Linked DNA regions of Lonchura striata. The protein of the gene in region 2 purifies or fractionates together with the protein of the main gene of each other region. This does not show direct contact. Links are inferred from orthologs where the notes say so. Each region holds a gene or a part of one and is shown on either strand. Other genes may lie near its edges.

Region 1 (7,219 bases), on a different chromosome or scaffold from region 2:
GTGCCGTGCCCCTCAGAGGGTCCCCCAGCTCTGCTGTGCCATGTCCCCTGACAGGGTCCCTGGTCTGGCTGTGCCGTGTCCCCTGACAGGGTCCCCCAGGGGCTGCGAGGGCCCAGCCCAGCCACAGCTCTGGGAGGTTCCTGCAGCTCCCCCGGGGGCTCTCCACAGGAACTCACATTGTGGCAGCTCGGCCCCAGAGCTGGGGAGTGCAGAGCTCTCCTCACCTTCTCTGCACCACGGTGATGCCCCTCTCCACCAAGGCCTTCCTGTTGGCCATGTGGAGCAGCCAGATCTCCTTGCGGGAGAAGAGGCGGATGCCGAAGGCTCTCTCCAGGAGTTTGTCCGCAGACACGTGCTCGGCGATGTTCCTGACGAAAGCCTGCAGCTCCGCCTTGACGTCGGAGCCCTGCAGCCCGGCCGGGGCCGCCGAGAGCCGGAACTGCTTCAGCAGGGCCAGGGCGATGCGGTACAGCACCTTCTGGCCCTCCAGCAGGAACACATCCAGCACGCGCACGGCGTAGCCGAAGGGCAGCCCGGGAAAGAGCCACGACAGCCACTCCGAGTAGACCTCGAGGACGTTGTCGGCGGCGCCGGCGATGAGCTTGTGGGCCGCCGGGCAGTGCTTGCTGGCCAGGTCCCCGAAGGTCATGCAGGAGGCCTGGTGGGCCAGGAAGGACTGGTCGATGTAGGCGGCGTGGGGCGCATTGCTGGCGATGAGGCGCGAGAGGCTCTCGAAGCACTGGGCCTCGTCCTCGCTGTAGTGCAGCAGCAGCGCGGCCAGCGCCGGCAGCAGGGGGCTGTGCGTGATGTCGGGGAACAGGGCGCCCACGCACACCAGGATCTTCTTCAGGGCCGTGACCCCGTGCGGGCTGAGGCAGTAGGTGGGCACGGGGCAGCCCTCCAGGAACTCGGGCAGCGGGTGGGAGCTGACGCTGCGCTTCCCGAAGAGCCGGCCGGCCACGTCGCGGTAGGCCGGCGCGTCGGGCGTGACGAGGCGGCAGGAGACGCGCTGGATGAGCCGGGGGTAGAGCCGGGCCCGGCCCGCGTGGCTCCGGGCCCAGCAGCCTTCCCTCGCCAGCCGCTTCAGCTCCTTCGGGGGCCTGCCCAGCACGTCCCGCGGCACCGGCGCCGGCCCCCGCGGCTCCGGCATCTTGTCCCAGTCCACGAAGGGCCCGCGGCCCCGGCACGAGGAGGTGTCGATGTCCCAGGTGTCGGCCTTGGACGTGACCACGATGGTGACCGGGGCCGAGCCGAGCATCTCTGCAGGGCAAAGAGCGTTTATTGAGCACCTTTCGCCGCCCCAGCCTGGCTCGGGGTGCTCTGAGCCTCACAGCCACGTCCGTCCTGGATTTCTTTGCTCTCCCCTGCAAAGGGAAGCGTTTCAGGCTTTGCCCTCTCCATCAGCTCCGGGCCCCGAGAAGTGTGGGGCCAGGTCCCAGCTGGGTGTCAGGGCTGCTGCTCACACCGCGAGGGGCTTTTCACCCCCCGAACGCTGCCAGCCCCGGGGCAGGGCTCGGGCAGCCCCAGCCCGGCGCTGGCAGAGCCGAGCCCGAGCTCCGCCGGGAGACGGGAGCGGCGTTTCCCCGGGGCTGCGGGAGCTCGGGACGAGCCGAGCCCGCCCGGGTGAGCTCTGCTGAGCCAAGGGGACACGGGGACAGCCCGTGGTGGCACAGCTCCGGCTCTCGCTCTCCTGCTCAGCTCGGCGCTTGCCCGAGCCCAGCAGGAGCAGCGGGCCGGGCTCAGGGCCGGAGCTGCTGCATCCGGAGCCGCTCCTGTCCCGGACACAGCCCGACCCCAGCACGGTCACGGGGGCTCCTGGCCGCAGGAACCAGCCTGAGACAGCACCGGCGCTGAGTCGGGGGCTGTCTGCGCCCCAAGTTCACCTCGGCTCTCTCAGGGCGCTGCCCGGGTACCGCGGAGCATCATCCCGAGCCCCGCCGGTGCCCGGCCCCGGGCGCCGAACGGAGGCTCCGGCTCTGCCCGCCCCGGACGAGCCGCGGGGCTCGGGGCAGGCACCGGGCTGTGCCCAGCCCCTCTGACCCGCCCGGCGCACTCACCTCGCCCGGTGCCCGCGTCCTCGCCCGCGGCCGGCTCGGCCATGGGGCAGCGGGGCCGGCTGAGCCCACCCGCAGCATGGGCCAGCCCGGCCACCCCGCGGCTCCGCTCTGCCCCGCACCTGCCCGCGCTCTTAAGGTGCGGCCGGCCCGCGGCCGCGGGGTTTATTTGGGGTAAACACAGCGAGGGTGGAGCAGCTCCGCGCCCGCATCGCCCCTTCCTGCCCCGGTTCCGCGCCGGGCCCGGCCGGGGGCTGTAAACACCCCGTGGGCCGAGATAGCATCAAACAGCAACACGAGCAGTAAACGAGCCCTTTATTTTCCCCAGGATAACCTTCGTGCTCCCGCTCGGCTGCGGCTGCTGCGGGCCGGCCGTGGGCTCCGGCGGCCCCGGTGTGCCCCGGGCAGTGGCTGGCACCGATCGGTGCCAGCCTCGGAACGCGCAGTGAGCGCTGTGCCCACGCACGGAAGAGCTGAGCCGGAGGAAAAGCGGCTCCAGCAGCTGCGAGAGGCTCCCGGGACACCGGCCCGGTCCCGCAGCGCTGCCGCAGAACTCCCAGCTCGGGCTGTGCTCAGCGGGCACTTTTATAGGCATCCCAAGCTTTTAAAAGATGTTTATTTGCCTTTAAAATCGGATTGTTTCTGGTGTGATAAGAGCAGCTGCAGGTTGTTCCTGACCTGCCTCCCTGCCTGTGAAATATGAAAGATGTAGAGGCCGTGGGGCTCGGGCTGAGCAGCGCAAGCCGAAGGCCATGAATGTTTGATGGCCGCGGCTGCGGGAGCATCTCCGGGTGTGCGGAGAGACGGGCCAGGGGACAGAGCCCAGCCCGGAACGGGGGAGCAGAGCGGGGATCAGTTCTGGAACGGGGATCAGAACACGGATCAGTTCTGGAACGGGGGAGCAGAACACGGATCAGTTCTGGAATGGGGGAGCAGAGCGGGGATCAGTTCTGGAACGGGGAGCAGAACACGGATCAGTTCTGGAACAGGGGAGCAGAGCGGGGATCAGTTCTGGAACGGGGGAGCAGAACACGGATCAGTTCTGGAATGGGGGAGCAGAGCAGGGATCAGCCCCGGAACGGGAACAACGTGCTGAGGAGATGCGCTCGTTCTCGTTATCAATGTCGTTATCACTATTGTTATGATTGTCCCTATCGCTGCCGTCATCGCTGCCGTTATCAGCACGGCCCCGCATCACGAGGGCGACAAAGCCTCGCTGGCTCTGTCAAACTCCTCGGGTTTGTGCCCCATTTGCGTCACCGGTCGCCCCCAAAAACAAAGGGAGAGGGCAAACCCCGGTGGATCAGGGGTGGGAAGGGCTCGGAGCCGAAACAGCGACAGTGCCAACACCTCCAGTGGCACCGGGACCGGGGCACGGCGACATCGGCATGGGCAGCGGCTGTCCCCGCAGATGGGCAGGGACAGGGGACAGCGCTGGAGAGGGAACCGGTGCCACCGCTCAGCGCTGGGTTTCTGTGGCAGCAGGGAGGGGTGGGGACAGCTGTGGCTGTGTGCTGTGCACATCTGCACACATCTACACCTGAACAGCCTAAACACCTCTGCACCTTGTACTGCAAACCTCTGTGCATGGAACCTCTGTTAACCCCGAACATCTGCACGTGTCCCTACGCCCCGCACATCTGTCCCTGCACTCTGCACACCTGCCCCTCTGTCCCGAACACCCCAAACATCTGCCCCTCTATCCCGAACATCTGCAGCTGTCCCTGCACTCTGCACACCTGCCCCTCTGTCCCTGCAAACCCCGAACATCGGCCCCCCTGCCCCGAGCACCGGCCCTGCCCTCCCCGCTGCGCCACCGGCGCCGCTCCCCGCACTGCCGCCCCTCGGGGGCCGGCTGCGCTGCCCGGGCCCGAGCCCCGGTACCTCTCTCCATCTCTCCATCTCTCCCCTCTCTCCCCATCTCTCCCATTTCCCTCTCCCGTTTCCCTTCCCCTCCGTCCCCTCCCGGCGCCTGCGCGCCCGGGCGGATCCGGCGGAAGCTCCGGGCAGGTTCCGGGCCGCGATGGCTCCGGACCCCTGGTGAGCTCCGGGCCGGGCCGGGCCGGGCCGGGCCGGGCTGCGGGTCGGGGCCGGGCCGGGAGCCGCCCCGCGGGGGCTGCGGAGCGTGCGGGGAGCGGGGCCGGGCGGGGCGCGGTGTGCCTTCCCAAAGCCCGACCCGGTGTGCGTGTGTTTGTGTTTGTGTTTGTGTTTGGGGTCTGTGCCTTCCCAAAGCCCATCCTGGTGTGGTTGTGTATTTGGGGTCTGTGCTGCCCTTCCCGGGCTCCTTTCCCAAAGCCCATCCCGGTGTGTTTGTGTTTGGGGGCTGTCTCTGCCCTTCCCAGGCTCCTTTCCCAAAGCCCATCCTGGTGTGGTTGTGTATTTGGGGTCTGTGCTGCCCTTCCCAGGCTCCTTTCCCAAAGCCCATCCCGGTTTGTTTGTGTTTGGGGGCTGTCTCTGCCCTTCCCGGGCTCCTTTCCCAAAGCCCATCCCGGTGTGTTTGTGTTTGGGGGCTGTCTCTGCCCTTCCCAGGCTCCTTTCCCAAAGCCCATCCTGGTGTGGTTGTGTATTTGGGGTCTGTGCTGCCTTTCCCGGGCTCCTTTCCCAAAGCCCATCCCGGTGTGTTTGTGTTTGGGGGCTGTCTCTGCCCTTCCCAGGCTCCTTTCCCAAAGCCCATCCTGGTGTGGTTGTGTATTTGGGGTCTGTGCTGCCCTTCCCAGGCTCCTTTCCCAAAGCCCATCCCGGTTTGTTTGTGTTTGGGGGCTGTCTCTGCCCTTCCCGGGCTCCTTTCCCAAAGCCCATCCCGGTGTGTTTGTGTTTGGGGGCTGTCTCTGCCCTTCCCAGGCTCCTTTCCCAAAGCCCATCCTGGTGTGGTTGTGTATTTGGGGTCTGTGCTGCCTTTCCCGGGCTCCTTTCCCAAAGCCCATCCCGGTGTGTTTGTGTTTGGGGGCTGTCTCTGCCCTTCCCGGGCTCCTTTCCCAAAGCCCATCCCAGGCTTTGGGGCTGTGTGGTTTTTTGGGGGTGTTGTGCTTTCCCCTCCCGAGGCTTATACCGGCGGGTCGCAGCACATCCTGGCGGGTTCTAGCCCATCCTAGCCCATCCCGGCTGATCCCATGAGATCCCAGTTGATCCCATGAGATCCCAGCTGATCCCAGCTGTTCCGGGTGGGTCCCAGCCCATCCTGGCTGATCCCATGAGATCCCATCCCATCCTATCCCATGGATCCCATCCCATCCCAGCCCATCCCATGGATCCCATCCCATTATCCCACGCCACGATCCCAGTATCCCGCTGTCGCTCTGCAGGCTGCCGCAGCTGGCCGCCGCCCGCCAGCTGGCCCAGGACATCGCCGAGAAGCTGCAGGAGCGGAGCCGCTGCCAGCGGAGCGGGGAGAGCTCGGCCAAGGTGCCCCGGCGGGGGCGGGACCGGCGGGGCTGGGGCCGGGATTGGCTCGGGAGGCGGAATTCCGGCATGCGAGGAGGAATTCCCGGGGTGCGGGGAGGAATTCCAGGATGGAGCTGTCCCAGAGGCTCTGGGATGCTGGGATGGAACTGTCCCAGAGGCTCAGGGATATTGGAATAATGGGATGGAGCTGTCCCAGAAGCTCAGGGATCAGGAATAATGGGATGGAGCTGTTCCAGAGGCTCTGGGATGCTGGGATGGAGCTGTCCCAGTGGCTCAGGGATGTTGGGATGGAGCTGTCCCAGAGGCTCTGGGATGTTTGGATGCTGGGATGGAGCTGTCCCAGTGGCTCAGGGGTGTTGGGATGCTGGGATGGAGCTGTCCCAGTGGCTCAGGGGTGTTGGGATGCTGGGATGGAGCTGTCCAGAGGCTCTTGGATGCTGGGATGGAGCTGTCCAGAGGGTCTGGGGTGTTGGGATGCTGGGATGGAGCTGTCCCAGAAGCTCAGGGATCAGGAATAATGGGATGGAGCTGTCCCAGAGGCTCTGGGATGCTGGGATAGAGCTGTCCAGTGGCTCAGGGGTGTTGGGATGCTGGGATGGAGCTGTCCAGTGGCTCAGGGGTGTTGGGATGCTGGGATGGAGCTGTCCAGAGGCTCTGGGGTGCTCAGCAGCTGCTCTGTGCCCTCTGTCTGTGAGCAGGGAGCAGATGTTCCTCCCCCAGGGCTGGCTCCTGCCTTTTGCAGTGCCTGCAGGTCAGAGGGAACAGGAATCTTGCAGCCGTGTTTTAGCTGCATTTCTCACAGAATGCAAGCCCAGAGTTAACAGGAATGAGAAGCAGCAGTTGGAGCTTCCCCAGGAATGTTGTGTCCTCCACGTTTTCACACTCCCTGTGTAAGAAATAAAATAAAGTTAGGGTTTTCAGGAGACTGCTTTCCCTGGGGCTCCTTTCCTTCAGGAGCAGCTTTGAGTCATTACCTGCTCCCTTGGCTGTGTTCAGGTGAAAATTGCTGCAAGCCCTTGAGTTGGTAGTTTTTAATAATTGGCATAATCAAAGGTGCAGTGCTTTTTCTCCCCCTCTCTGTATCAGGGCTGTAATGCAGTGCCTGATCACTGGATCTGCTGGGCCACTCACTTTGCTGAGAGGTGTTCAAATCAAATGTCATTTTTGAAATGTTTCCTAGGAAGAAATTCTGAGGAAGAGTGTGTAGGCTGTGCACAATAACCAGTGCTGCTGAATGGCTGCCTCACTTCAGCAGGAGTTGAGCAGGGGTCTCAGAAACCCCAATAAGTGGGATTTGGGAGCAGGATTTTCTCTGGCTGTGGAGTGTTTGGAGGTGCAGATTAAATTCCTGCTTTCAGGATGGTGAAGTGTCAGAATTGCACAGATACTCCTCAACAACAGAAGACCAATAAAAACTTGCTGCTCAGTCTGTATTTATGGAGGGCAAAGTTCTCTGCTGCCATCAGTGGCACCTCTGAGGAGCCCAAACCCCGATGGAACATGGGGCTGGTGCTGTTTGGAGCCTTTCTGGGGCTGGAACTCTCCGGGGTTGTGTTTGTGGAAACATTGCACGGGTGACTGACTCCTCCATAAAATCATCTGTCCCATGGCCTGCGTTTTCCAGCTTCCTTTCATCCATTAACAGGTAGAGAGGAATATTTGGCAGGGTTTGATTCTACTCTAAACAAGGTTCCAGCAAGGAGAGAGGTGTTTTCATAACAGAAATGTCTGTTGAGAAACCCACGGCTGAGCAGCCACATGTC
Region 2 (7,217 bases):
GCAATGGGCAAGCCTCATGTGTGGGCCATAGTCACATCACACCTATGGATCCACCAGCTCCTGGCTAAATGCTCCTTTCACTTTTCTTCCTTTTCACAGGTGCAGTGTCCTCCTCTACCTATGCCACTGCTCCCTGCTACCAGGCCGAGACAGGCAAGAGAAGAGCTCCTGTTTTCTCCCAACAGGGAACACAGCACACACTGTAGGTGCTGTCCAGCAGAGGAGGATGAAGGGATGGACACTACCCCATCTCTACCTTTCTATGGAGGTGAGACCCCACTCCTAAACCCAATTCTCAGCTTTCTCACTCCCTCCAGATCATGCCCTAGAAGGGAGGACTGACTTCCTCCAAAGAGCAGTTCCTCTCTACCAACAGCATCCTCACACTCTGGAGGGAACAGAGATGCCCTGAAAACTCAGGGTGCAGCCCCTGCCCTCTGCCTCTTGTGGAGCTCAAGTGCCCTTCACCCCTCAAGATAACAAGCAAAGCCTAATGCTGATGGTAGCATGAGTCATCCCAGAGCTGTGCTGGCTTCTTCCTGGCATGGAAAAAAAATCCCTAACCAAGAGCCACACACAGGCTGCAAACAAAGAATAGTCTGAACAATGTCCAGGCAGCAGTACCCACACAGATCTCTGTCCTGCCTCCACAGAGATCAGCAAAGGAACAGGGCAACACAGACCAGAGGTCTGTGAGTTAACCCCACACTTCTGATTAAGTACCACCACCGCATCCTTCACAGGAAAAACTGGAGCCCTGAACAAGCTTCATCCAGGAAATGACTCGATGGCAGAAGGATTCAGAGTGTTCACTCCTTCCTTCATGCCCCACTCCTCCTCCAGCTGTACTGGTTTCCTGTTTTCCTGCTGCTTTGACCCCAGTGAGTCACGGCTCATCTCCAGGTCACCTATATCAGGTTTTTACCTGCAGAAGGGGATGCCAGAGGACCAGCTGCTGCCTGAACCTCATGGTCCCGGTGTGTTCCTGACCACTTACTTTCTTGAAACGTTAAGGAGCATGTTACAGGATGAGGTAAAAAAAAAGCCTCAAAAATAAAAAAATGTTACTAGGAAAGGTTAAAATTCAGGGTTAATGATGTAGAGAAAGAGCCTCACAAAAACATTGAACAGGTCACCACCAGAAAACAGCAAGGGCTTCAGAAACTCCAATAAGCTACTGTGGTGTAACCTGATCCCCTTCCCTCTGTCAAAACACAATTTCTTGACAGGCTGCATCAAAACTAAGATTTCCTTTAGCTGTGGATATGTGGATAGGACATACTATTTAGAAGAACACAGGCACAAGGAATGTTCATAAGATGACCTACACAGAAATACTCTGACAAGACAGCAGCAGGAGCTCACAGTGCCACAATAAATTATTATCTCTGTGACACTAAGCAACAGCAACTTACTGCCTGATCTTGTCATTCCTGGGTCCAAACCTGGGTCCAGAAGGCCCCCTCCTGCAGGCAGAAAAGAGCAAGCAGGTCAGGTACAATGAAAACATGTTTTTAGACCAGACCCAAATGATCTGAGGAGAGAACCAACGCCTTGTGCACAGTGTATTGTTTTCATACCTCCCATCAGTCCCTCCCACAGATCTTAGGATCCGTGGGATCTCTCCCTCTTACAAAAGGTCACACCTATTAATTCATGTTCAAGGCCAAAGCTCTGGAAGAACATCCCAAAGGAGTCAAAGGTTTTCATTCCCAAGCCCCCAGCCTCAGAGCTGCAGGCAGGTATGACACTGCACTCCAACTCACAAGAAAAAGTCTTCCTCTTCATCTGAGTCTTCCTCCAACAGGTTCCTCTGCAAACACAGAAAAAACATTTCATCAATAAGCAACCACCAATTCATACCCATATTTCCAGCTCTTAGGATGCAATCAGCATCCCCTGACTGAAGGAAGGCCCTCTCTGCTCAAGGGACAATCCCCAGCCCTGCACCCAAAATCATTAGATCACCCACAGACACTCTGGGCTGTCCCATCCACACGGGAAATTGGATCTACTGGATTTGGAGGACAAGGTTTCTCCTGTATCTGATGGCAGCAGGTGTAAGAGGAATGACCACAAGGGAACACACTGGCTTCCTTGGGCTGGAGGGCAGAGCAGTCTGGCAGCTCCTCTGTTTCACCCCAAAGGGCTACTTGGGGCTCCCCTTTGCTGATCCACTGCACTCCATGAGAGGATCCAAAACCTGTTTTTTAAGAGGAACCCCACAATCCCACAGAAGTCTGAATGTTGCAGACAAACACATTTTTGCTTAGGGTGAAAAACAATCTAGAGGGGGAGGTGACACAGTAAAGGTGTAGGCCCAGGGAGCAGCAGATGGTCCTTGGGGTGCCAACAGTTGCTGCTGGGCTCCCACCTGCAAGCCTGATACTCTGATGTTGCAGCTCACCTACATTTCCATCCTGGCACATTTGCTCAATTAATGAACATGCAACACCATGCAATAATTCCAGTCACTGCTTCCCTCAAGGGAGAAGCAGCCAGCTCGTGGCAGCTGTCGGGAGCTGCAGCAGCATTTCCGACCACAGCCTAAAGCGAACTGTAGCACAGCCTGACCTAGGCAGGTTAAATCCACTTTGTCCAAACCAGGCAACTGCCGGGACCTGTACTCAAAGCATGACATGTGAGGGGACCGTGATGACGGGAGAAAAAAAGTCAGCTGTAACGCACAGGGTGACTTCACTCAGCTCCTTCAGCCAACGTGGGCAGCAGAGCCAGGCCGTGTCCCTGCCAGGCTCTGCGGAAGGGCAGGAGGCCGGAGCACACCGGCATCTCCTGGCCACGGATGCGGCCTGAGGGAGCCGCAACAGGTTCCCAGAGCAGCCGCGCCGAGGCCGGAGTGACACACGGAGCGGGGCCGGCGCTCGGGCAGCCCCTCGCCGGCGGAACAGCGCTGTCACCGCGCTCCGGGCTGCGGGGCCCGCGGTGCGGCGGCACAGAAACGCGGCCGGGGCAGCCCCGCCGCGGGCACTCACCCGCTCGCTCTTCACCGAGCCCGTCACCTCGTCGTCGTTCAGGTGCCGCTTGAATTTGGGAGGCATGGCCGGTCCGTGCCGCGGGGCTGTGCCCGCGGGGAGAAGCCTGGAGGGGAGAGCAGGGAGCGCCGGGCAGGCCCAGGACGGGACCCGCCGCCCCCGCGCTCAGCGGGCCGGGCCGGGCCGGCGGGAAATGGCCGGTGCCGGAGAGCCCCGTCACCGCCGCCGCCCCGCCCGCCGCGCCGAGCGCCGAGCTACCGATGGCGGGCGGGCCGGGGCGGGGCGGGGCCGGGGCGGGGCGGGGCCGGGGCGGGGCGGGGCGGGGCCGGGGCGGGGCGGGGCCGGGGCGGGGCGGGGCCGGGCCGGGGCGGGGCCGGGCCGGGGCGGGGCCGGGCCGGGGCGGGGCGGGGCGGGCCGGGGCGGGGCGGGGCGGGGCCGGGCCGCCCTCGGCCGCTGGGTTCGGTTCGGGCCCCGGCCCCGAGCGGCCCCCGCGGGGTTCGGCCCCGGGCCCGCCCGCCCCGGCGTCACCGCTGGCACACGGCCTCAGCGGCTCCGGGGAGGCGGCGCGGCAGTGCCGGTGCCCCGCGGGCAGCTGGAAGGCTCCGGGTCGCCCGCCCCCCGCCGCCCCGAGCCTCTCGCTCTATAAATGCGGACGCCGGGGGCCGGCGCGCTGAGAGCGGCGGCGCCGGGGCCATGCTGGGGGCCTGGCTGCTGCTTTGGGGCTCCGTGGCCCTGGGCGGCCGAGCGGACACCGCCTTCCTCCGCCGCGCCCATGACGGCTCCGGGCACTGCACCTACTCCTTCACGGTCGCCAGCCCCGTGGAGGCCGCCTGCCCCGAGGCTGCCGGCGGCGCGCCCGAGCTGCGCGCCGAGCTGGCCGCCCTGGCCGCCCGCCTGAGCCGGCTGGAGAGCCGGGAGCGAGCGGCGGGGGGCTCGGGGCCGCGGGGAGCCGAGCCGGGGGGCGCACGGGACCCGCAGCGAGCGGCCGCGGCCTCCCGCCTGGAGGCTGCGTACGCTGAGCTGCTGCGGGCCAAGTCCCGGCTGGAGGAGGAGAAGGGGCGGCTGGAGAGGGAGAAAGAGGAGCTGGGCAGGCGGCTGGAGAGCAGCGCCCAGGAGATCAGCCGGCTGCGGGCCGCCCGCTGCCCCCCCGGCAGAGAGGGGCCCGGGCGGGACGCGCTGCGCGCCCCCGCCAAGGGTAAGTGCCGGGCCGGCAGCCCTGTGCGTCCCTGCCTGCCTCCTCCCCTCCGGCCGAGTCCCTCTGCGGCCCCGTGCTGTGCGCCACTGCTGCCCCCCACTCCTGGGGACCCCGCCGGGTTCAGCCCTGCCCGGGAGGTCGCAGCCCATCGCCCCATAGCTCTCTCCCCACCCCGCCTCATCCCATCCCTCATCCCATCGCCTGCCCCGCAGCAGAGGGGGGAGGTAGGGTACCGTGCTGATCTGGGCTATTAGCAGTTTCCCCCAAAGAGAACGGTCACAGATGTGCCCTGCTGCAGTGGGAGGGGGCACCGGGCTCCTGCCCAAAGCATGGGCATTTCTGCGAGCAGCAGCCCGGCACGGAGCCCCCCGAGGGCGGCGGCAGCAGGCAGGCGGTGAGGGGGCGGCTGAGCCCCGCTCACGCTGTGCCCGACCCCGCTGCAGCGCCGCGCTGGGAGCCGCAGCCGCTCAGCTTCCAGGAGCTGCAGTCGGAGAGGACCGAAGTTCCCGTGTCCCGGCTGCTGGAGGAGACGGCGCTCGGCCGCCCGGGCAAGGAGGACGCAGGTACGGGCTGCCGGGCCGGCCCCACGTCCCGCGGCTGACGAGGGGCTGGCGGTGACCCCTGTCTGTCCCGTCCTGTCCCCGGGCAGGCTGCGGCCAGCTGGTGTGGGTGGGAGAGCCCGTGGTGCTCGGCCGGGCGGACTCCATCGCGGGCAAGTACGGCGTGTGGATGAAGGACCCCGAGCCCGTGCCGCCCTTCACGCGGGACAACACCTGGCGTGTGGACACCGTGGGCACCGAGGTGCGCCAGCTCTTCCAGTACGAGGAGGCCGAGCAGCTGGCCCGGGGCTACCCCGCCAAGGTGCACATCCTGCCGCGGCCCCTGGAGAGCACGGGCGCCGTCATCTACCGCGGCGGGCTCTTCTTCCAGCCCCGCCAGTCCCGCTCCGTGGCCCGCTACGACCTGCGGGGAGAGACCATCACGGCCGAGAGGGAGATCCCCGGCGCCGGCTACCACGGGCAGTACCCCTACTCCTGGGGGGGCTACACCGACATCGACCTGGCGGTGGATGAGACCGGGCTCTGGGTCATCTACAGCACCGAGAAGGCCCGGGGAGCCATCGTCCTGTCCAAGCTGGACCCCGAGACGCTGGAGATCCGTCGCACCTGGGAGACCAACATCCGCAAGCGGGGGGTGGCCAATTCCTTCCTCATCTGCGGCACCCTCTACACCGTCAGCAGCTACTCGGCGCCCAACGCCACCGTCAACTTTGCCTACGACACTGCCACGGGCACCAGCCGGGCCCTCGGCATCCCCTTCGAGAACCGCTTCCGCTACCTCAGCATGCTGGACTACAACCCTGCCGAGCGGCGGCTCTTCGCCTGGGACAGCTTCAACATGGTCACCTACCCCGTCCGCCTCTCCCGGGCGTGAGCCGAGGCTGGCGCAGCCCCCGGGACCTTCGTGCGGGCCTTGGCACCCTGCTTCCCTCCCCATGGCCCCCGGCACGGCCGGGAGCGCCGCCTCACACAGCCTCGGTGGTGCTGGGGGCCACACGCTGCCCAGCCACATCGCATTGTGCCCAAGCGCAGCAGAGAGATGAAGCACGGCTCCAGAGCCTGGCCGAGCCAGGGCAATGCCTCTCACCGGCCTCGGGGCGTTTCGGGTGGGTCACAGCTGTACCCAGCCCTGAGCTGCTCCAGCACCTCTCTGAGCACCCAGCCTACCCACCCTGAATGTGGAGCACGGAGGGCTCGGGCACGGTGAGGGCTGGGCAGAGCAGGTGGTAGAAGGGTTGTGCAGGAGGTTCCTGCCTTAAAATAAGCGTTTTTCCCTAGTTGTGAGCAGCGATCCCCTCTGTGGGGTCAGGGTTTGTTGTTTCCAGGCTTCAGCCTGCAGAGCTCTCATGCAGAGATCCCACAAGCTCCACTGATATCCCACACTCCCAGTGCCCAAGGGCATCCTGGAGCTCAGCCACCTCCAAAAATCATCGAGTAGGCTCAAAAGCAACAGAAAATACAGACACACATTGCACAAGCCTTGTTTTATTGAGGAAAAAAGCTGCCAAGAGAGCAGGGGTGAGGAGTGCTGGGAGAGCATCCTGCAGCCGGGTGGTCTCTTGGTACCCAGCCCTTCCAGCCATGTGCTTCAGCTTTACAGGCCACCCCAGGCCAGCAGCTCTCCCCACACCAGTCCAAAACACGCTGCTTTATCTATTTATTATAGGAGGGGAGGCTTCTTTCTCCCTGTGGCGCTTGGGGCAGAAGCAACCACATTCCCCAGGGGCTGCATAGGGTCCTGGCCCAATAAACATCACCCAGCACCTCTGCTGCCTCACACCTCATCTTTCCAAGCCTGTTTTCCAAGGAGTGTGGTGGGCTGGTACCCCTCTTGATGCACCGACAGGCTGAAGGTGCTGGTGAGGGGACCTGTAAAAGCCTTGAGCAGGAAAATGCCACATTTTGGAAGGCAGCTTCTGACAGCAACACAACAGGTACTGAGCAGTGGAAAAGGACAGAGAATGCAGTGTGACATTTGTGATGATCACCAGCAGCTACAGGGATTTTCAGTTGGATGCTTCACCCCACCGCTGTTCTCCTGACACTAACACTTGTAAGTGTAGCAGCACTGTATGTTTGCATATCACAATGAAGTATTTGGTTTATCCATCTTCCCCATGCTTTATTTTGGAAAAATACAAGATGGTTTTAAAAAGTGAGACAATATGGGTAAGATATTTCTGGTAAGCTGCAGGGGGGGGCAGCAAGTTGGTGCCCAGCATGAAGAGGGAGGAAGCTGAAAGACCCATTCCTGCTCCTGGGCAGGCCCAGAGCCAGGCTGGGAATCTCACCTGAGCCAGGGCCAGTGAAGGTGTCCCTGTGGCCAGTGCTGGCCCCAGGTTCCACAGCAAGGCTCAGCCCAGGAGGGTCAGGGGCACATCACCCCTGTCACTGTCACACACAGAGCTGGGGAGCCCTGGGGCCAGGGCAGGGGAGAGCCAAGCAGGCAGCAGCCAGGGCCAGCAGTGC
Region 3 (7,647 bases), on a different chromosome or scaffold from region 2:
CAGAGCCCTGGAACAGAAGCTGTGGATTCTCCTTCACTGGAGATATTCAAACACTGCCTGGATGCCCTCCTGCACAACCTGCTCAGGGGAACCTGCTTTAGCAGGGGCTGGGCCAGGTGATCTCCAGGGGTCCGCTCCAAACCCAACAGTTCTGGGGTTCTGTGAAATGCAAAATCCCCACCTATACATGACCCAGCCTAACAAACTAACTTTCAGACAAGAAAGCGACAGTGAGGCATAGATACCCTCAAGAGAAGTCAGTGGTGCTGAGAGCTTGTGCACTCCTTTTCCTCATCCTTTTTAGACTAACAGAGCTGTTTCTACCAGCCTTGCTATTTCAGTATCTTAAGCTATCACTGCTGCAGAAAAACTTCATTATGCTGTGTTGCCACTTTTACATTGTTTTAAAGTTACTTCAATTATTAGTGCTCTGTTTAAAAAAAATAAAAAGAAAATGCCAAGTGTTGCTTTTAGTTTCAAAACCCCCTGCCCCAGACCTGAATTTTTCTACTCATGATAGTCCAAAGATTTCACAATACTGGCACAAATGATCTTTCGAGAACAGATAGCAATGTGCACCTCACATTTTGCCTTTGTCAATTTGAAATCTTGTTGTAGCACAGAAAGGTATTTTTGACCTCCTTCTCCCTTATCTCTGATATTTTCCCACTATTTTCTTTGTGTAGGCACTCATGATCATGAAACCACACAATGAATCACATCAAACCATTAGGTTACCTGAAAAGCAAGTACATTTTCTCTCCCCAGTCCCTCTACCTTAGAATTATTTTCTGACAGATCAAGAAGCTGATCCCCTATATTCTGCAGCAGCACAGATTTTATCATTACTGAAGTGCTGGGCTCAGCACTTAAAACAGCAGTACAAAGATTGATCCAAATCAATCATGAAATCTAAGCTATCTCATCATGCAGTGAGAAGCAAGACCAAGAAGAATCACCTTTATACAGTTCCACAGGCAACTGAATTGAACTGAATTATCCCATGAGTTTAACAAGTTTCTTCCAATTCAGAGACACCCTCCTGTTTAACTTCTGCTTTCAGCCTGGAGTCTCTGCAGTTGATTAAATGTGTTGCTGGAGAAGCATCACATCCCTACAATGACCACTTCTTTTAAAAGGATGTTCAATGGCTTACAAGGGCAGCTAAGACTGCAATACGAGTTAATCAGTAATTAGCCAGTAATTAGCTTTTACATTCTCCAAGTGTATTCTCACCTAGGACTTCAGATTTCTATTAGATTATACAATGAGGAGTTTGTTGGCAACTCCTCATATACTGAGCTTGGCTTCCAGCAAGCAAGTCTGCACATATTTCACAGTTCTGTCAGACACAGGAAGGTCAGAAAAATTCAGTCAAGCTGGTGACAAACAGCACAAGGACTGCACTCTGTGTGCGGATGCTGAGGACTTGGCAAACAGCATTTGTGCCATAATGTCCAGACATTCTGTGGCTTATTTCTCTCTGCATGGGGAGATTCTTGCACAGCACCATTTCCAAGCCAGGCAAAGTCTGTCCTGCCCTGAGCCAGGTTCAGCAGTTTGCTTTGCTTAGTTTATCTCAGCCAACAGCAACACGTACAGTCTATGCAAAAAAAAGTGTCTAGAAAATGGAAGGAAGAATAAAATGAATAAAGTGTCTAGGAAATGGAAGAAAGAGGCTGGAGCTCTTTATTCTTTGGACAGTGGGTATGCACCAACACACAGAGCCCCTCAGTCAACAGCTTTCCATCTCCAAGCCCTTTTAATTTCAGGCTGTAGAGCCTTCCTCATACTTACTATGTGACAGCTAAAATTTCTTGAAACACTTCAATCTCTCCTCTAGCTGCAAGTCTGCTACATTACCTGAGCAAACAACAGTTTTGCCAGCTTTGCCACCAGTTTTCTGTACATGTTGTGTGAAATGCTCACTCCAGAGACTCCCCAAAGAAGTGAGTAATACTCAGCTGTGCACACTGTTTGCCTGCTCTTTCCCTTACAGGGGAAGAAGAAATGAGGACAGCCTTAAGGCTTCAATACAGCATCTTCTCTTGGCTTGAATGGAAAGCTTTTATTCGGTGTGTAATGAAGTTAACTACTGTAACATTAAGTCAGATGTTCTGAGTGTTCCCACCCACCTCCATAAAACTGTACGGCTATTTGTTTAACTTGAGATAACAGTGCACAGAGATAGGATGGCTGCAGGTCATGAGACAGCAGAAGCCTGTCCCATGAGAGAGAGAAGCTGAGCTGCTTAGAACAGGAGGCTCAAAGAAATCCCGTGGAAGGAAGAAGGAAGGAGTGTAAAGGGAAAAAATAAAAAGGGGGGAAAAGGGAAAAAAAACCCTCAACAAGCCATGCTACTTGGCCAACAATTCAGCAATGTCTACACCAAGGAGAAAAGAACATGACTGAGCAAAACATTTTCAGTAACATAAATGTGTTTGCATCATCAGAGAAGTCACAAGCTTTCTGAGGAACCAACATATTCAACTGATCTAGCATGGGCATTGAACAATTAGCAAAGCCTGTATCTTCAGAAAGGATTACATCAAAGACTCTCCTGGATGTTACTGCCTTCAGTGACCAGTACTGAGATTTCTATAGTTATCGTACAACACCGGTAACTTTCTCTAATGACAGGAAAAGTGCACCTGTGTCCTTAGGGACATCCTGCCGGGAGCAGGACGCTGCCAGCACAGCGAGGGGGAAAGCCGCCCGTTCCACGCCCATTGGAGATCCCTGGGACCGCGGCTGCTCCCGAGCCCGGTGACAGCCGGCGCTGCCCCGGAGCCCTCACTGCGGGCACGCGATGCCAGCGAGCGGCCGGACTGCCCGAGGTGGGAAGGGGCGGCTCGGCGGCAGGCACAGACACCCACCGAGAGCGTTCACCGCGGCTGCAGCCGGGCTGGGCATCACCACACCCGGTGCCTGCCGTGTGCCCGGCCCGGCACCGCTCCGGCGAGGCTCTGCCCATCCCGGCCCCCACCGCACCCTCACGCTGCCGGGCCGGGCCGCCCCGTCCCTCCCCGGCCGCGCACTCACTGTACTGCGCGATGCGCTGCACGTTGCCGCTGCATGTCTGGATGATGCCGCCGAAGTCGCGGGGCGGCGGCGGCGGCGCCCCGGGGCCGCGCAGGTCCAGCGGCCCGTACGACATGGCCGGGCCGGAGCGAGCACCGGCCCCGCTGACAGCGCCCGCCCGCCCGCGCCTGCGCGGCCGCCGCGCCTGCGCGCCGGGGGCGGCCGCTGTGAGGGGAGAGCGGCGGCGTGAGGGCGCGGGCGCGGCGGGAGCTCACCCAGACCCGCAGGGAGCTCACCCAGACCCGCAGGGAGCTCACCCAGACCCGCAGGGAGCTCATCCTGCCCCACATGGAGCTCACCCGGCCCCACATGGAGCTCACCCGGCCCCTCATGGAGCTCACCCGGCCCCTCATGGAGCTCACCCGGCCCCACATGGAGCTCACCCGGCCCCTCATGGAGCTCACCCAGACCCACAGGGAGCTCACCCTGCCCCACCCGGGGCTCACCCGGCCCCACATGGAGCTCACCCAGACCCGCAGGGAGCTCATCCTGCCCCACATGGAGCTCACCCGGCCCCACATGGAGCTCACCCGGCCCCTCATGGAGCTCACCCGGCCCCTCATGGAGCTCATCCTGCCCCACATGGAGCTCACCCGGCCCCTCATGGAGCTCACCCAGACCCACAGGGAGCTCACCCGGCTCCTCATGGAGCTCACCCTGTCCCTCCTGGAACTCACCCAGACCCACAGGGAGCTCATCCTGCCCCTCCTGGAGCTCACCCTGCCCCATATGGAGCTCACCCTGCCCCACCCGGGGATCACCCTGCCCCACCGACCATCACTGCCATTGTAACCTTCAAACACTAAAACATCACCTAGCGCCACATTCCGCTGCCTCATAAAAACCTCCAGGAGTGGTGACTCCACCATCTCCATGGGCAGCCCCTTCGTTGGAAGAACGGTTTTTCTGGTATCTCATGTGAATTTCCACTGTCTCTGCTCAAGGCCATTTCCTCCTGTCCTCTCACTACAGGCATGAGAGAGAAGAGAAGAGAAGAGAAGAGAAGAGAAGAGAAGAGAAGAGAAGAGAAGAGAAGAGAAGAGAAGAGAAGAGAAGAGAAGAGAAGAGAAGAGAAGAGAAGAGAAGAGAAGAGAAGAGAAGAGAAGAGAAGAGAAAGAAGAGAAGAGAAGAGAAGAGAAGAGAAGAGGAGAAGAGAAGAGAAGAGAAGAGAAGAGAAGAGAAGAGAAGAGAAGAGAAGAGAGAAGAGAAAGAGAAGAGAAGAGAAGAGAAGAGAAAGAGAAGAGAGAAGAGAAAGAGACCAGTATCTACCTAGTACAATCTCTTCTTGGGGACTTGTAGAGTCCCCTTGTAGAGTCCCCTTGTGATCCCCCCTGAGTCTCCTCGAGACTAAGCAAACCCGCTTCTTCGTAAGACATATTTTTCTAGAACCTTCATGTGAAAAACGCCAATCACTTGGTTTTTAAAATTTTAAAAGTTTAATAATAATAAAATGGTTATAAAATAATAATACAATTAGAGTAATAAAGTTTAGAGTTAGGACAATTACAAGACAATAAAAAGCAAAGAATTACGGACATCTGGATGCTCTCACACTAAGTCACGACAAGCATGACTTGTGAACAAAGGAATCACCCTTAAAACAATACACTTGTTGCATATTCATATATCCTTCATGGTTATGCATACATTCTATTTAAAACAAGAAACTCTGTTGTATGTCAACTGTTCCTTTAATCCCCATGGTGTCTTTGAGTCTGAGCAGGACCTGAACAAATTAGCTTCTTCTGATAAGAAGCCATAAATTCTTCTCCTTGGGAAGATTTAGGTGTTCCTCAAAGTGAGTATTTCATTCCTAAAAAAAAACTTCCCCCACATACATAATCTCTATTTTAACATTATGTTGGAACCTGAAACTACATTTAACACACTACTTAAGAGAATTAATACAGCATAACTTTCTAACATTACACATATAATATTCATTTCAATATTTGTGAAAAGACAATCATAAAATTTGCATTTTTCACACTTCACAAGCCTTGTTGCCCTTCTCTGGACACTCTCCAGCACCTGCATGTCCCTTTTGGAGTGAGTGGCCCAGACATGAACGCAGCGCTTGCACTGTGGCCTCACCAAGGCTGAGTGCCGGCGCCTGGCCTGGCCCTGCCAGGACAGCCAGAGCTGCAGGCAGTGCCTGTCGGAATCTGAGGTATTGATGATTCCGAGATTGTAAAAATCTCTGTCTTTCAGCCCTGCTGAAGCCATAATTGGTCTGTGCTGGTTTCAAGGTTGTTTATTCTGTTTATCTCTAACATGTTCTGCTGCCCTGCCCAGCTCTGTCCTGCAGGGCAGCGTGTGGGGCTCTGCCCTCAGTGGGATGTTACAAACATTAAATACCAGAAACTCCCTGGGCTGGATTTACAATAACGTGCCAATATCTGTCACCTACGTTGGACAGTGTGTCCCCAGCCTGAACCAACAGAAAAATGCCAACACCACAGTGAGACATGGAGGGCATGAAGAAGGAGAAAAAGGACAAGGCACACCCAATTTCCTCCATCTTGTCCCCTTTGGACCCCTAGAAACCTAAAATTTTACTTTTGCACCCGTGCCACACTTAATTATGACTTATATCAAACACTCAGAGCTGGTAATTCATCCTGTGAGATTGAAAACTCTTTTCCATGGGCAGAGATCACAGCCAGTGTCTCTGGGGGCTCTGTCCAGGGGGGTTCCTGACCCCTGCCAGGGTCCCAGACCTGCCAGGGCAGCCAGAGGGAAGCTCTGGATTCCCACAGGTGGCAGGCTGGGTCTGGAACAAATCCTGCACCGTTTGGAATTTCAGGAGAAATCCTGCACCGCTCAGAATTTTAGAGGGTGGCAGCCCACTCCGAGCCATGGGCCCCTGGACACAAATGCTGCTCCTTCCCCTGTAAAAATAAACTCACCCCACAGTATGTTGATGTCCATTTAGAGGAGGCGTTTAGCAGTGCCAGGGCAGCCTGAGTTATTGGTGGTGGCAGCTTTGTTCTGGGAGAGATCCTGTGCTGTTTGGAACTTTAGGAGGTGGCAGCACACTCAGGGCACAGCCCCTGGACACGAACACTGACCTTTTTCCATGGGAAACGAAACTCACCATCCCAGGTTCCTGATGTCAGTTTGCAGGAGGTGCTTGGCACTACCAGGACAGCCCGAGTTGTAGATGGTGGCAGGTTTAGTCTGGGAGACATCCTGTGCCATTCAGATTTTTAGGACATGGCAGCCCAGCAGAGGCACTTCCCTGTCCCTGCTGGGTTCTTGGTCCAGGAAAAAGGAGCCCTGCCAGGGTGAGGGCTGCTGTGACAGCCTGGCCTAGGGTGAGGAAGAGCCATGCTTCCAGTACTGAGCAATCCCACCAGCAATAATGCAAATGTAAAGGATTTTAAGAGAAGATCCCTTTCTGCTCCCTGCTGCAGGAGTTGTAGTATTTTAATGAAAGTACATCCAATCTTTGAATAAAAAAACTGGGGTCATGCCCTGTATGTTCTTAAGAAATTAGTGTATGTGTGCGTAAAGTAGGAGCGTAAATATTTCTTTAAAAAATGCTTGTTACAACAAAAAAATTCTAATTTCAGAAGCATCCACATCAGGTCAAAATGATGGTAAATAGGGAGCAGGGCCGTGGATGAAACTTGTGTAATAGAGTAAGAGAAGGCTCCAGGGTGGTCTTATTGTGGCCTTCCAGTGCCTGAAGGGGCTCCAGTAAAGTTGGAGAGAGATTTTGAACAGGGGATGGAGGGACAGGGCAAAGGGGAATGGCTTCCCACTGTCAGAGGGCAGGGGGAGATGGGATATTAGGAAGAAATTCTTCCCTGTGAAGGTGGTGAGGCCCTGAAAAGTAAACTTTCCCATCTGCCCACCCAGATGCCACTCTGGGAGTCACACTCATACCAACCTGCTACATTAATGGAAGTGGGATGATGGGACAGGGGAGCTTATGGGGCAGGAAAGGAGTTTTGCAGGAGGATTTAAAGTGACAGCAGTAGCTTTGAGGGGATCCCCATGGTGCTGCTGTGCTTACAGTGTGTTCTGCTTCAGCAAGGAGGATTCCCAGGGCTCTGGCTTCTCGCTCTGTGTTCTGAGGGTGCACAGTGTGACGATGTCACCACTGTTACACATTTCCCACACGTTCCTGCATTTCTGGAGGAAACAGCATGGCTGTGGGAAGGATGGGGCCAGCACCTGCTTCTCAGAAGGGACCGGGTGTTGTGAACCACAGGACCCTCAGCACTCATCACCTAGGTCTTGGTGCTCTGCCCACAAACTCCCTACCCAGCATCCAGCACCTGGAAACCTCAAACCCCACAACCCACATCTCGCACTTGACACCCTGCACTCAGCACCCCACACCCAGCGCTCAGTACCCAGCACCTGGAAACCTCAAACCCCAAACCCCACAACCCACATCCCACACTTGACACCCCGCACTCAACACTACACACCCAGTGCTCAGTACCTAGAACCTGGCACCCCTCACCCGGCTCCTCCACACTCTGCTCCCTGTTCCCCACACTCCGTTCTCTGCACTCCTCTCCCTGCACTCCTCCCTCCGCTTCCCGCACTCTG
Region 4 (7,209 bases), about 1.4 Mb from region 2:
CTGCCTTTGCTCGGGATGCTGGGCCACTGCCACCTTTGGGAAGCACAGGCCAGGATGTGCTCTTTGCTTAAAATTTGGGGGATTCCTCCTGGCCAAGCCTCTGCAAAATCAACTCACGTGGGAGTAAGGCTGTGTGTATGTGGATGGGGACATCTCCCAGAGCTCTGCAGGCACCATCCCTCTCCTGCCAGCTGCTGCAAGCCCAGGGCTACCTGTGCTCAGCTCCTAAAGAGCCCAGAGATTTGAGAGAGGTGGGAATGAGGGATCCCCACCCGGGCATGGACAGCATCCAAGCGACACAGGGCTGTTCTCACCCCACAGAAGGGGAGGAAGGAAGCCGTGCCTGTGCCTCTGCAGGGCAGGAAGGGCAGCAGGAGCCGAGCAGGCTGCCTGTCACTCCCTCCTGCTTCCTCCCTCACTGCCTGGGAACACAGCCTGCCTGGGCCACTCCTGCCGGGCACCCCGTGCCAGGGACAGGGCCCCACAGTGCCAAGGTTTTGCTCTGTGAAACCGGGTGAAGGAGGCCAGCTGGCTGGTTTATATGAGGTTTGAAAGACTGCAAATCTTGTGAGAAGGAAGGGGTTTAGTCTCCTGGCTTTAGCATAAAGCACAAAATTCCTTCCCAACAGAGGAGCCGGACATGAACAACACTGCTGCTAACTGCAGGTGTGTGAGAAGATGGTGCTCGAACACCTTACCTCACTTCCTCTCTGCACTGAGCAGGCTGCTTTTAGTTCTCCAAAATAAAAAAATTATTATCTTTAATCCATATAACCCAAAGAATGGCACACACACCACCTTCTGCATGGTCTCGCTGGTGCTAAGGACTGTGGACCATTGTGGCAAGGGGAACACAGGAACGTGTAACCACCTCTGTCATTATAGGGCTGCTGAGAGAAGTGTTGGACTCAGCAATCCTGCAGCCCTATTCAGCCCTGATGAGAGCATTTTTGGGGTGCTGTGTGCACCTCTGGGCTCTAAGGAAGGGCTGCCAAGAAGATGGAGCCAGACTCCGCTCGGTGGTGCCAACCATCAGGACACAGGAGGAAAGGGGCAGGAACCGATGTTCAGCAAGTTCCACATGAACAGAAGGAAGCTCTGTCACTGTAGGAGTAACCAGGCTGTGAAAAATGCCAATCACTTGGTTTTTAAAAATTTTAAAAGTTTAATAATAAAATGGTTATAAAAATAGTAATGCAATTAGAGTAATAAAGTTTAGAGTCAGGACAATTACAAGACAATAAAAAGCAAAGAATTACGACAACGTCCAGATGCTCTCGGACACTAAGTCTTGTGAACAAGGGAATCACCCTTAAACCAATACACTTGTTGCATATTCATACATCCTTCATGGTTATGCATACATTCTATTCTAAGCAAGAAACTCTGACGTATGTTTCCTTTAATCCCCCTGGCATCTTTGGTTCTGAACAAGGCCTGAAGAAATTAGTTTCTTCTGATAAAAAGCCATAAATTCCTCTCCTTTGGAAGATTTAGGTGTTCCTCGAAGTGAGTGTCTCATTCCTAAAAAAAAAAAGAAAAAACCAGAAAAAACCTTCCCCCCCACATACAGAGTCTTTATTTTTTTTTAACTCCTAAAGTCTTCATATTAACTACAAAAGCACAACTAATCAATATAGCGTAATACATATAGCAGCTATCTGCATAGAGCCATATAATATGCATTTTTCACAGGGCTGATTTATTAAAAAAATGTGGATATTGATCTAGTACTGATATCCAACAGTCAAGGACAAAAACTCTCTAACAGTATAAAGTTAAAGGTGTGTGTTTATTTTGTGCGGGATCGCTCCCAAATCCACACTGCACCTTCCAGGTGGTTACAGAGCCTTTTTATCCATACAAGTATTGAATACACAAAATACAAATACATATTCATCATTTTGGTACATCCCATTCCTCGCTTTGTATGCTAATCACTCCAAAAGCCATTCAGCACGCGTGGTTTGTCCCTTGAAATGGGTCGGTGTCCCTTTCATGGGGAGGGGTCCCAAAATGAGGAAGTCAATGAAGTCTTCCTCCTTCTGACCTTTCTACCTTTTCAATGCAAATATGACAAATGAATCTTGGTAGAACTCCCATTCCTTGTCTTCAATTGGTTTCAGAACAGACGAGGCCCACAATTGTCTTATGTTCCTAAAAGCTGTTTGTCAGTCTCTGTATTCTTCATTATAAACCCAGCTAACTAAACATTGTGTCACTATAGGACACGTAAAAGCACGATGCGAGTCGCTGCTATTGCAAAGGTGAAAAAGAGGAAGTTTATTTTCTGACTCCAGCATTTATACTTTTCCAAAGGTGACAGTGGATTGGAGGGTGAAGGTGCCACCTCTCCAATGACATTGGACAAACTACCAGTACATCAAGTTTCTCCACCTCTGTGAAGGAATGCAAAACAATAGGTTGTTTGCAGAAAGTTGTGTGAGAAAGTTCTCTAACAGAATGTAAACTCAGAAGGCTTAAGAAAATCTTAAAAATCAGGGCGACAACATTGTGCTGACAAGCAATCAATTATTAGTCAACTGCTAACTCTTAACTTCATCAAGGCCTACTCATTTATTTTAATTAACTCTAGTAGGGCTTATCTCTAACTAAAATCTTAGCTCCTCTAAAATCTCTAAACCCCTTAAAATTTACGTTTCAGGGCAATGGAACAGATGGCCCAGAGAGGTCCATGGGGACACAACCCGTGCCACGTGCTCGGGGGTGAGAAGGGAGGCGGCACCGCCGAGTTCCCTTCCACCCTGAGCCATGCTGGGCGTGATGCGCTGGGTGGCTGTGGGAACTCAAAATGTCCCTCAGACATTTTTGGAGGTTCCAGGCCCCGGTCAGAAGCATTTGAGACCCTGGCAGGCAGCTGGAAACAGCTGTGATTTTGGGTTTGAGCCATGGAATGAGTTACCAACCTTGCAGGAAGAACAAGAAGTCACGAAAGTTTAAATGTTATAGTAGAAGTGGTTATAAAGTAGAGGGGAGAATTTTTTAGTATTGTACAAGCGGGTTTTAACACCTGTACATGGGGGTTTTTTGTTCTGTACATGGGGGTCAGAGGTTTTAAGATGGAGGAATGCAGGCCGGTCCTTTTCCTCCTCTTTCTTCTTCCTTACCTCCATGTTCTTGGTGATGTTGGCACTCTCAGATTGGTTTAGAGTAGAAAAGCACCATTTAATATAGGTAATAGGCATTGGGGAAAAACTGTAAGCATGTAACACGTAATGTACCATATAAAAGATAGAAAAGCACCATTTAATACAGGTAATAGGCATTGGGGGAAAACTGTAACCATGTAACATGTAATGTACCATATAAAAGATAGAAAAGCACCATTTAATACAGGTAATAGGCATTGGGGGAAAACTGTAACCATGTAACATGTAATGTACCATATAAAAGATAGAAAATCACCATTTAATATAGGTAATGGGCATTGGGAAAAATTGTAAACATGTCACACGCAATGTACCATATAAACGAGAGCAGCAGCCCTGGGCGGGGAGAGAAGAAGCAGTCGGGAGTCAGAGAGGATGTCAGGGTGTGTGTGTGCCTCTGCCTGAGCTCTGAGCAAACCACAGCAGCAGAGAAGAAAATCTTTTAGATAACTCGCAATAAACTGCCTTGAGACCGGACAGCAGAGACTGCTGAGTTTTCTTTGGAAGCACGGGTTGGAAGAGAGACTTTTCCACCACATGTAACTCCTGAACCAGGCCTGGGTTCCTTCAGGTGGGAGGGACAGGGGGCACTGCGGGAGGAGCTACGGGAGGAGCTGCGGGACTGCCCGGGCAGCACCGGGACGAAGCCGCGGCCCCTCAGCGCCCCCGCTCCCTCAGCGCTCCCGCTCCCTCAGCGCTCCCGCCCCCTCAGCGCTCCCGCCCCCTCAGCGCTCCCGCCCCCTCAGCGCTCCCGCCCCGCGGCGCCGTGCGCGCTGACGTCACCCGGCCACGCCCCCGGCGGGCGGGGCTGGCGGAGGGCGCGGGCGGGCGGGGCCGGGCCGGGCGGGGCCTGGCGGCGGCCGAGGCGCGCGGCGGCGGCAGCGCCATGTCGATGGAGGACCCCTTCTTCGTGGTGAAGGGGTGAGCCCCGCGCCCCGCGCCCGCCGGGACGCGGCCGCGGGGACGCGTAACCCGCCGGCGGCGCGGAGGGGGCGGGCAGGGCCGCGGCGAGGCTCGGGAGGCCGGCGGAGCGGGGGCGAGCGGCGGCGGGGGTCTGTGAGGGGGGGAAGATGGCGGCGGCCCCCGGGCTGTGAGGGCTCCGCGCCGGTCCGGGGCCTGTTCGCCGGTGCGGGGGCGCTGCCGTGAGGCCTGGGCCCGGGCCTGGCTGCAGGTGCGGCTTGGGGACAGTGGGAAAGGTGCAGGGAGCAGGGAGCGAGCTGTGGGATAAACAATGGCCGTGAGAGGAAGCCTGCAGCGAAGAGCCTGAACGCAGGGAAATACCAGCCGAAGGAAAATTGTCATTAATAGGGTGAAAGGAGCTGTGTTGGAGCTACTGCAGAGGGTCCAGTGGAGGCCACCTAGATGATTTGGGGTCTGGAGCATCTCTCTGGTGAGGAGACACTAGACGAGCTGGGCCTGTTTAGCCCAGAGAAGACAGAGGGGATCTCATCACTCCATACAAATGTCTCTAAGGCGTGTTATGAGGATGGTGCCAGACCCTTTACAGCAACAGGCCATAAACTGAAATTCAAGAAGTTCCACCTCAAGGTGAGGAAGAACTTCTTTCCAGTGAGGGTGGCAGAGCACTGGAAAAGGCTTCATGGAGTTTGCTGCAGACATTCCAAACCCATCTGGAGGTATCCCTGCTCTAGGTGACAGTGAATGACAGGGGGTTTGGACTGGATGACCCACAGAGCACCAGCAATTCTGTGATTCTGTGAAAGCAGCTCCATCACTGAACACTGCCCTCGGGCCACCTTCAGCTTGTGCTGGGGGCTGCTCTCCTGCCCCTTGTCACAGCGAGACAGCCCCAAGGAGCAGCAGAGGGGCTCCTGGTGGGGTGTTTTGGGAGAGCCATGTGAGAAGAAGTGTGGGAATGGATATTGGTACAGCCAGGGAAAATGAATCCCTTCACCAGGATAAACTCGTGCTTAGAGGAAAGTGTAGGAGTCGCCATGGGTGGGGAGCAAACGTCCTGTCAAACTTTCCAGAGATGTTCCTGCAGCGGTGGGGAAGGGCAGGGAGGGGGAAGGGGATGTGCTGCCGCTCCCACAGTTAATTATTACCTGGCAGGTCGGAGGGGCTGCCGGTGGTGTAGCCACCAGAATTGCTACTAGTTTGCTTTTCTGGTGTCTGTAACTCCTCCCATCAGAGGACACCCAGCTCTGCTTTACATTCTTGCTGCTGGGGACTTCCACAAGTGTGGGGAAAAACAAACCCAGCCAAATAAAATCAAAACTTGTGCTGGCAAGTAGAGGAGGGAATGAATTTTTCCAGATCCTCAGTGCAGGCTGCTGGCTTTAGGGCACTCAGAGTGGCAGACTCGGAGCTGTAGGCGTGTGAGAAGAGGAGGGACATGCATCAGAGTGCTGAGAAACTGCAGCTTAGACAGCAACTGGAGGACCAGCTGGATCAGGCCCTGGTGGAACTTACAGAGGTGCAGTCCTGGCACGTCAGTTCATCTGCCCTGGGCCTCCCCTGCTTTCCTTCACTGGGGTGAAACACCTGACTGCTGTGTGCAAGCTCATGGTGGCCTCCTTGGACACCAGCACATCATCTGATCTCCCCGGTGAACCTGGGGGAGCAGTTCAGAGCTTGGGACCGCAGAGTTTGTAAATGCACATAGCCACACTGAGAGTCTGTGACCCAAATTTACAAACCTGCTTGCCCCAAACCAGATGTGTCAGCAGTGCCTTCCCCCGCTGTGAATGCATTCGTCTCCAAAAGAGCTTAGAGCAGCAGAAAAAACTTGTGTTTCCTAAGCCAGCGTAGTAGGCCTGTGTATTTTTTTTAAATGCTGAATTAAAATAAACAGTTCTGCATTCAACAGTCTGCCTGGCTGTGCTGCGGGGACAGTTCCTGTAATTCTGTGTGCCCTTGGGGTATCTTACATGGGTACTTAAGGGCCTTGAGAGGAAAACTGTAGAGAGAGGAATGCAAAGTGTGGATTGCCAAAGAGCTGCCTTGTTCAGACCCTCTGCCCTGGCTTGCCTGGGTGACACTCAGCAGCTTCCCCTGAAGAAATAGGTCCCTTCATGAATAACTTCATGCTGCAGTGAGATTCAGGGCAGATCTTTATTTTACAAAATAAACACGCAGTTGTTGGAAGGAGGGGTGTTTGGGAGGAAGCTGTGGCATTCCTGCTCAGCTGGACACGGGGCTGTCCCAGTGTCACTGCTGCAGGGCAGCTAGTGATAATTCTTGGCTTCTCTTCACTCACCTGCAGGGAGGTGCAGAAAGCTGTGAACACTGCCCAGGGGCTCTTCCAGAGGTGGACAGAGCTCTTGCAAGATCCCTCCATTGCCACAAGAGAAGAAATCGACTGGACTACTAATGAGCTCAGGAACAACCTGCGAAGCATCGAGTGGGACCTGGAAGACCTGGATGAAACCATTAATATCCTTTTTTTGGCCCTTTGGAGGTAGTTGCAGTTCTCAGGTTGTACTAAATAGCAAAGTCCCAGTGCTTGTTCCTCTGCAAAAATCAGGACTGTTTGGGATTGAATTTTGCATTCACATTGGCTTTTCTCAAATTGCAAATGAGAAATTAAGTAAAGGATTTTCCTTTTGTCTTTTTGTCTCCCTTTTTGCAAGGTATATTCTAAGAGGCTTTGTTTTAGAAAGCCTGTTGTGTTGTGTGAATCTGCATTTCTGCAGGCTCAGTTCATTTTCTAGGCTGCCTTCCAGAAATACTCCTTGTCCCTCGTGCTCCTCTGAGTGCTCCTGAAAACACTGCCCAGCATCACAGAACCAAAAAACCACATGGAAAAGAGAAACCTTGTGTGTGTGCTTCACAGCACATTCCTGCCATGTCTCCTTTTCCATCCAGCCTGCAGTTCTTTGCTAATCAGATTTTGGGAAGAGGCAGAATACAGGGGCCCCTTGGCAGGCTTGGGGTTTGTGTATCCATGTGGGCAACCAGCCCACTTCGGGCACTCCTTGACTCGGTGCCCAGGCATCGTGGAGGCAAACCCACGGAAATTCAACCTCGATGCCACGGAGCTGGGAATCCGCAAAGCCTTCATCACCAGCACGCGGCA

What was found.
Region 1: the proteins of VAMP4 (region 2) and STX8 purify together in Homo sapiens (co-immunoprecipitation; 3 studies listed by BioGRID and IntAct, counting the BioPlex papers as one, with this or other methods). This does not show direct contact. The link is inferred for Lonchura striata from reciprocal best matches to the Homo sapiens genes VAMP4 and STX8.
Region 3: the proteins of VAMP4 (region 2) and STX12 purify together in Homo sapiens (affinity purification with mass spectrometry; 3 studies listed by BioGRID and IntAct, counting the BioPlex papers as one, with this or other methods). This does not show direct contact. The link is inferred for Lonchura striata from reciprocal best matches to the Homo sapiens genes VAMP4 and STX12.
Region 4: the proteins of VAMP4 (region 2) and STX6 purify together in Homo sapiens (co-immunoprecipitation; 5 studies listed by BioGRID and IntAct, counting the BioPlex papers as one, with this or other methods). This does not show direct contact. The link is inferred for Lonchura striata from reciprocal best matches to the Homo sapiens genes VAMP4 and STX6.

What each region holds. Positions count from the first base shown.
Region 1 is NC_134621.1:1,093,847-1,101,065, reverse strand, and holds the start of STX8 (syntaxin-8), read left to right. Parts: upstream 1-4,031; 5' UTR 4,032-4,077; coding exon 4,078-4,094; intron 4,095-5,356; coding exon 5,357-5,456; intron 5,457-7,219. Other genes in the region: TBC1 domain family member 24, read right to left, coding at 225-1,260, 2,058-2,100. UniProt on the Homo sapiens protein: Vesicle trafficking protein that functions in the early secretory pathway, possibly by mediating retrograde transport from cis-Golgi membranes to the ER.
Region 2 is NC_134611.1:616,662-623,878, forward strand, and holds the start of VAMP4 (vesicle-associated membrane protein 4), read right to left. Parts: upstream 3,226-7,217; 5' UTR 3,060-3,225; coding exon 2,994-3,059; intron 1,814-2,993; coding exon 1,767-1,813; intron 1,467-1,766; coding exon 1,416-1,466; intron 1-1,415. Other genes in the region: MYOC (myocilin), read left to right, coding at 3,687-4,188, 4,632-4,751, 4,838-5,622. UniProt on the Homo sapiens protein: Involved in the pathway that functions to remove an inhibitor (probably synaptotagmin-4) of calcium-triggered exocytosis during the maturation of secretory granules.
Region 3 is NC_134628.1:5,437,108-5,444,754, forward strand, and holds the start of STX12 (syntaxin-12), read right to left. Parts: upstream 3,197-7,647; 5' UTR 3,158-3,196; coding exon 3,043-3,157; intron 1-3,042. UniProt on the Homo sapiens protein: SNARE promoting fusion of transport vesicles with target membranes. Together with SNARE STX6, promotes movement of vesicles from endosomes to the cell membrane, and may therefore function in the endocytic recycling pathway.
Region 4 is NC_134611.1:2,047,296-2,054,504, forward strand, and holds the start of STX6 (syntaxin-6), read left to right. Parts: upstream 1-4,008; 5' UTR 4,009-4,056; coding exon 4,057-4,091; intron 4,092-6,396; coding exon 6,397-6,566; coding exon of another isoform or gene 6,567-6,580; intron 6,581-7,124; coding exon 7,125-7,209. UniProt on the Homo sapiens protein: SNARE promoting movement of transport vesicles to target membranes. Targets endosomes to the trans-Golgi network, and may therefore function in retrograde trafficking.